2 linked regions of the Daphnia pulex genome follow. The protein of the gene in region 2 purifies or fractionates together with the protein of the main gene of each other region. This does not show direct contact. Links are inferred from orthologs where the notes say so. Each region holds a gene or a part of one and is shown on either strand. Other genes may lie near its edges. The genes, in order: DDB1- and CUL4-associated factor 1-like and COP9 signalosome complex subunit 8-like.

What was found.
Region 1: the proteins of COP9 signalosome complex subunit 8-like (region 2) and DDB1- and CUL4-associated factor 1-like purify together in Homo sapiens (affinity purification with mass spectrometry; 4 studies listed by BioGRID and IntAct, counting the BioPlex papers as one, with this or other methods). This does not show direct contact. The link is inferred for Daphnia pulex from reciprocal best matches to the Homo sapiens genes COPS8 and DCAF1.

What each region holds. Positions count from the first base shown.
Region 1 is NC_060022.1:4,447,247-4,451,548, reverse strand, and holds the start of DDB1- and CUL4-associated factor 1-like, read right to left. Parts: upstream 3,004-4,302; 5' UTR 2,875-3,003; intron 2,698-2,874; 5' UTR 2,689-2,697; coding exon 2,576-2,688; intron 2,511-2,575; coding exon 2,363-2,510; intron 2,288-2,362; coding exon 1,609-2,287; intron 1,536-1,608; coding exon 607-1,535; intron 545-606; coding exon 296-544; intron 234-295; coding exon 12-233; intron 1-11. Other genes in the region: mRNA export factor GLE1-like, read left to right, coding at 3,406-3,613, 3,704-3,867, 3,931-4,146, 4,207-4,302. UniProt on the Homo sapiens protein: Acts both as a substrate recognition component of E3 ubiquitin-protein ligase complexes and as an atypical serine/threonine-protein kinase, playing key roles in various processes such as cell cycle, telomerase regulation and histone modification.
Region 2 is NC_060017.1:2,513,404-2,516,579, forward strand, and holds COP9 signalosome complex subunit 8-like, read right to left. Parts: upstream 1,663-3,176; 5' UTR 1,517-1,662; coding exon 1,454-1,516; intron 1,390-1,453; coding exon 1,319-1,389; intron 1,252-1,318; coding exon 1,037-1,251; intron 971-1,036; coding exon 735-970; 3' UTR 672-734; downstream 1-671. Other genes in the region: zinc finger protein 724-like, read left to right, coding at 1-113, 183-320. UniProt on the Homo sapiens protein: Component of the COP9 signalosome complex (CSN), a complex involved in various cellular and developmental processes.

The sequences.
Region 1 (4,302 bases), on a different chromosome or scaffold from region 2:
TTATGATTTACCTGCAATTGACCGCTGGTGAACAAGGGTAGTTTACCCATGATTTGGCGAGCATTTTCGCTGCGTGCAAGACCTAACAAGGCCTTACAGGCTAAAGCGCGAATCGAGTCAGCATCCGTAATGGGTGTTTTAACAGATAGAAGGTCCATTAACACCATGATTCCATTGTGGGATCGTACACACTCCCAAACTTGGTTGAGAACCTCTTCGCTCGTTCGACTAGCCTATACAAAGCACAATGCGTAAATACATAAATTCTACAATAAGAAAATATCATTGAAATTACCACGCTGCGTCTTTTGGCACTGCCATTAAATCTACCGACAGAACCTCCAACTCGATGGACGGGAGCACAAACGCAGTGAATGAGTACGCAAAGAGCGGCACGCTGAACTTCGGGGTCAGCTACAATGTCTCCTTCAGCTGCTCCAAGTAGAATATTAATGCCTACAGCATTGGCGTCATCCGGAATTTGAATACGATCACAAAATAGCATCTGAACTCTGAAAGAAACAGAACAAACGGCTAAAACATCCTGCAAAATAAAATAAAATATATTTAATAATTTAACTTTAAGAATATATTTAATTTCTTTACCAAAGCGCTGCGAACAGTCTCGGCACGTCCGGTAAAATTCCATAGGTAGGATATTGCAATAACTTGTAGAAGCAGAGGGATACCCCCGAGGCTAACAAATTCATTGACGGGTGACCAACTTGCCCGAAACGGAAGCAGTTCTTGAGCAGTGGTGATTAGATCGATAATTTGATCTGCATTAAGCTTGATTGCTTTGTAGGGAGGTGTTGACGGATGGGGAGAACCACCCATTTCACGAACTCTGATCCGTTGAAGATGTTCAACTTTCCCAGCCAGATGAATTTCAAAGTATCGTTTTAGCGCCGCACAGACGTGTCGAACGGTTTGGCGTGCAGCATGAGATTCGTCATCATCCAACAAATCACTTGCATCTTCCATTGAAAGTATTGACAAAGTGCTGATCATATTGTACAACCGGCGAAGACCATCCTGGGCGTCAAACTGTTCCAAAATAATGCGGAACTGAAACGATGTCCCAAAGAACATGGTAGCGTGACAACGTCCAGATTCGTGCGAACACTCCAGTAGCCAAAGAGCATATCGGACTAGCTCTTGAATGACGTGATCTGGTAAGAGACAGACTCGCTCCATGGCATCTTCGCAATACGCAATGTAATAAAGACACATGGCAACTCCAGTTGCAGCAATGCTCGGCCGTGGAATTTCAAGTAAGCGATGCAATCCCTGATGATGAATAAACTCGATGGCAAATTTTTTGTGACAAAGCAGTGCTCCGAGATATTTAAGTGCTTCGAACGATAAACGCGAATCTTGGGTCTCGTCAAAGTCGATGTAGTTAAGAATAAGGTCGAGCGCCTTTTGCTCGAACATGTGAACTAGTAACTCTTGATATTCACCCATGGGTGTTAAATATCGCAAGATTAAGATTTGCCGAGTTGAGTCCGTCAATGGATGCATTTGATACGTTCCTATAAATAAAGTAAGAAGTGTTAGTTTTTTAACTTTACAGACACACTTGTTGCATGGAGAATAATCTTTTACCGATGACGTATGATTCCATTTCGGCCCAAGACGAGTTGCTAGAATCATTCATAGCTGATCCATTCAGAGATGCATTTCCACTTTTTCTCTCTTTGGAACCTTTAATCCTGCCTTGAAATTTCTTTGCTTTGTTATTCTTTGGCAATTTTCCTTTATCGGAGGCTCCATCGGCCGGTTCTGGTCCAGGCATTAATTCAGCATCTTCATCCTTTGGGACCTTTGAACTGGAAGATGCTCGACTCTTACTACTCGCCGTATTCTTTGGGGTTTTGCTCGAGGTACTCGGTTGGTCGCTTGAAAATTTTGAAAATCTTTTGATTTTTCCGAGTTCGTCATTTTTCTTTTCTTCGGCACATCTCTTTTGGATTTCCCATAACCTTTTCAACATTAACGGTGCTAGATGAGCGTTTAACTCACGAAAGTTAGCAGCCAAGTCTTGTAGTTCCATCGCAGCAGCTAGCAAACCAGTAGCGTAGCTTTGAAGTGGTTCTGGACCTTTTTCTGCCCAACTAAAAAGTCTGTTGATCAATCCTTCTGTGTCTTGAAACACCACAGATACTTCTAAGCCTGGCATTAAATCTAGAACAAGACGAGCTGCAGCTGTATTGAGTTCCCTTGAATCTCTGGTAGAAATGCCTAATCTGGTCCAGTAAGTGTCACGTAAATAGTCTCCAACTAACTAATATTAAGAAAAATGAAAAAATAGCATTTATATTTAGAATGAAGATCAAGGCCAAGTAAATGAAAATAATACTTTTTGCATAAAAATTTCCTTCTTGAATATTATTTTAAGCATGTGTCCAAAGCTGCAATTTGGATTCCTAGAAGGGTTACGATCATCAAAAGGATCTGGATCCATTTTTAGGTAATTTTCTGTTTCTGTTTCCAAAAGTTCAGCCAGTCTTGAAAACAAAAATTAACATGATTAAGAAAAAAAAAATCTTGCAAAAAAACAAATAACACATACCTAGAAAGATAGGGAACAGGATCAAATGTTGGTGCTACATGATGTTCCTCAAATAACCTCAAAATAGCACTGACATCTGACATTTCAGTCAGATTTACGGTGTCGTTCGCCATACTGGATGACTTAAATGTAAATAAGAACAAATTAGCTGAAACTTATCGACGCCAAAATGAAACACAAAAGGACGTTTTTGGAACCCAATCACAATTTCACAACACGAGTAGAATAACTTCAATGGGTCACAAATCTTCACCATAAGTTAAAAAAAAACTATTGCATTATAAACAACAAAAACTCACCTTCGAACTGTTACGTCTATCTGAAACTACAACTTCCCTTATTAAAATTAAGTTTCTTTGAAATTGCTGCAGAAGTGTGCACCACGTTCTGTGTAATTTCTATGTGCAGACTTGAGAAAAAAACGTTGTCAGATTAATATTTTGGAAAATTCTTGCGAATTCCATTGTTTGCTTGTTTGAGGAAGTTAGACCTCCAGAATACAGATTTAAATGATAAAATTATAGCTAAAATATTTTTAAAATTTCTAGCAAATTTTCATATTACAAATTGAATGATATTTCTCACAATTGGATTTTTCAATAAACTTGACAACAATAGCTTTTCTTATGGTTACCTAGCGTGCTTAAAAAACTGTGTCTGCTTTTGTCGTCCTTTTTGTGAATCTTTGTGGACGTTTTTTTTTTACGATTGTTATGTGACATTTTCTTCAAATATTTTGTGGTTTGAACTTTGAAAGTTACTCACATTCTTGTCGTAAGTGTTGACACGTGTCGGATCAAAACGTCGGGCATAAGAGGAATAAAGTAAAAATGGCTGATGTTTTGGATATCTTGGAGCTAGGGAGACCGGGAACTCCAGAAGTGACGAAAGAAAGTATTATGGGAACGCAAAAACCGAAACCTAAATACAAACCTAAAAATGAAGTTTTACGTAAACCTGAGGGAATGGCACGAGAACTTTTCAATCTTTTGGTCAATGATAGTAAAGATGCAGCTCCTCTATTTCCAACTGACACAGGTAACAACTTTGTCTGTCTGCAATTTGTGTGCTTCCAGTAAGGGAAAGAAATATTTGTATGCCAAAGATTTCATAAATATTTCCAATCAGGTAAAGGATACAAGCAAGCAAAAGCTCATTTAGGTGTCCGTAAAGTGAGACCTTGGAAGTGGATGCCCTTTACTAACCCAGCACGGAAAGATGGAGCTGTATTTCACCATTGGCGTAGAGCTGCAGATGAAGGGAAAGAGTATCCATTTGCTAAATTTAACAAGGTTGATTTCCATCTTTTTTAATTGATTTGAAAATTTCTTTTATATAAAAATATTTTTTTTTAGCAAGTCCATATATTTTCTTACACTGATCAAGAATATCAATTACTACAACTTGATAATTGGACAAAGCAAGAAACAGATCATTTGTTTGACCTCTGTCGGCAATTTGATCTTCGTTTCACCGTTATTCAGGACCGCTGGGATAGTACACGATTCTCAAAAAGGTCAATCGAAGACTTGAAGGAGAGATATTATGATATCTGCAACATATTAAACAAGGTAAAGGATATTTGTGTCTGTGTTACCTAGTAAAAAAATAACTGTATATTTTTTTTTAAGGCAAGGCATACAACAGGACCAGAGCCAAAGAATATTGCTTACGATGCCGACAATGAAAAACGTCGTAAAGAGCAGTTAAAGAGGCTATTCGAACGT
Region 2 (3,176 bases):
AAGATGGAGAGATGGTGGCTGTACCTATTCACGTACAAGATGAAAACGACGAAGATGATGACGGAAACAAAATGGAAGTCCATATGGATGGTGACGAAAACGCTGATAATGAGGTAAGCTCTTTCATGGATATTCTAATGAATTGACTTAATAAACATTTGCGGTTGTTTTTTGTTATGCAGGAAGTTCAGCAACTCCAGCTGATCAATGAGGACGAACTTATTCAAGAAACCGACGGTCTAGGTGCAGTGACTATGAGGGATCCTAATACTAATACCTTGTATGTGTGGTCTGTGTTCCCTAATTCTCAGACTAAGTGATCTATTGACACGATGACAAGCGCCCTAGTAATTTTTCTTCGCGAATTGAATCGCTTATTAATTGTGGGATCTGTCATTCCCTCTCTGATTCTGAAGATTATCTTTGCATAGAACTTTTGAGCTTCTCTTCCTATTCAACCGTTGCCCCTTGTACAGATGTTGTACCATGACACAGAACAGCAGTGAAAATACAACCGGGAAACAAAATATCACGTGGTATTTTCTCATTATGTTGAGAGTTGAAATTCGTTGCCGAGTCCGAGTGATCCTGGGGTCAAAGTTCCTAATTTAATTTTTTGAGCTGTGTTGGTTGCTATCAATTGAATAGTATGCAAATAATATGTAAAATAATTTCCGTTTCATCGATCAAGTTTATTTTCTTGGGTATAAACATAAGTAACGTATTCAGTTGATTTAATTTTCCAAGAACGAGACGAATTGGGTAAGACTCTGCAATTGCTCTTCATTCCGCATCAACGGAACGTTTTGGGCGGCTTGTCGCTTAGGTATGATTAATTTGGAAGCAGAATCACACGTCCAACCTTGCTCTTCCTGTAGCTTCGCGAGTAATTTTTCCGCATTCTCTGGATAATCAACATAACCAACCAATTCAGTGAAGGTGGTTGAAGTTATGGACAGATAAGCTTTCCCTAAAAATAATAAACACATTTCATTTTCATTGAAAATTTCTTTCAGGATGTTCTTGAACTATATACCTATGAGTTGAATTGATTTTTGCCGAAGATTTTCTTCCAGACAGGTCATGTAAGGTTCGATTGATGGAGGCCAACTTGTGTTTCTGAGAAGGCTGAACACTGAATTGTGCTCTTTTAACCATAGTTTTTGACCTACCTCCCAGATTTGGCCAAGTAAGGGGAATGCAGTTTTCTCTTCATTTGAGATTCGTTTCCAAAGAAATTTAGCATTGCATCTACATCAGCGTAAGAAAAACTCTTGATTATTAGCACCAGTCATTACAATGTAACTAATATACTTACAAGTCAAAATTACACAGATATATACTGAGTAACTGACTATGCAAATCTGCTAAAACCAATCCGCTCGCACCCTGAAGGAAAGACATCATTGCAATTAATTGTTCCAAGTTTTCGTCAACAAAACGACAACAGTACCTCGAGTTCCTGCTTCTCCAGTTCTTGGGTGGTACTTTCAAATAAAACAACTTTAGACGACATTTCCCCTTTTGAAACCAGGACGTATTTTATGAAATTTGTCGACGATTGTTTAAATCAAGTTCAAGTTACAGCCAACCTTCAGTATTTTGGCCGTACCTACAAGCCAACAGTGTGCAATTAATTAGACTGTTTTTGGTTTTTATAATGCTTTGTCGTCTGCCACGATCGAAGCAAGAAGTAACAATCATCGACACCAGGGGACAGTATATTTTCGAGAAATGGTCAAATGGAGAAATTAACAAATAAAAAAAAATTATGAGGGCGATGAATGAGATTTCCTCGTGTCAAACTTATGCAATATAATATAAATATGGAAAACCTTCTGAAAATGTGTGCCCTATAAAGGGAACTGGTTTTAAAGCTACATAGTAAAAACATATAAATACCTCTTTTTTTTCGGTTCTTTGTAGGGACCGTGGCCAACTATAAAAGGTTACAAAATTTTATGAACAAGAAACAAATCCAAGCGTCTTTACTCTTTACTTTAAATTTCCTAAAAATGAGGAAAGAATTCGACTTTTCTCCGGAAGAAGATTAATGTCCTTATCGAGCAATTTTTGGCTTTATTTTCTCGAAGATAATTTATTCAAACAACCTTGAAGTGTCAAGTAATTGTTTCACAAGTAAAAAAGTTAATGATTGGTAAATCTTAACGCAGAAATGTGGCGGCGGTTGAGAAAGGGTTTTCCTATTTTGATTTTCTCTTGCTTTTAGTTCGTCAGACTGACGTTAGTAGGCGGCAGTCTGTTTCATCACAGGTTCCCGCCGTTCTTTTATGGGAGGGGATGTGCTACAACCAATGGGAATTCTCAAAAGTCTAGCCCGAGGGGAATCCAGTCTCTCCCCGTTATATACAAATGTGTTGGGATATAGTTAAGGACGACGGGAAGGCCGTCCCAGCTCAGACACATTCTTGAACTTCACGTGCGAGGATATACCTCTTTAGTCACTGCTGAAAATACAAGTTGTAGAGCCAAATGTTTATTATTCGTCTACTCCCTTCTGCCAACAGATGAAAACGCTGTGAAACATGTGTCGTTAGTGTGTGTGTGTGTGCACAACTCGTGGCGATTATCTTCGTTTTTATTTTGTTCCAACTTTACACGTGTCTTTAAGATAAACATGATTCCCATCTGGGATAGTCATCTTTAACCGGTAAGATCAACATTTTTTAATGGCTTTTCATTTTACTCGAGTTGGGGGTTTGGGTGGAGAAAGAATAAATGGTGTCCTTGGTTAGAATTTTCTTCTGAACAACATGCCGGAATATTTTAACATTTCAAAGTCTCTCATGGGAATTGGGGCCCCCGTGTCTGTTTCTTTGCATATGGTTCGCGGTTAAAACAAGAACAGAATAGAACCACAAAAGTAGGAAGAAGAAGAAAAAAGAGTTTACACACTTGCGGAAGGAATACAAAGCCCCCCCATTTTCCTCTCCAAATAACATACGTTTCCTTATTTTAAACCTACGATGAAACGAGAAACATTTTTCGTTTTATGCAAATTTATTTTATTTTCGATTTGAAAATCAGAAGCCTCTTCTTACTCACGTCACTTGGCACTATAAAAATTCGAAATTCTTATTTTCTCCCCTCTTGCTCGATGAAAGATAGAGTATAAATAACAAAATGACTAACGCACAGAAGCAACCCAGACCTTT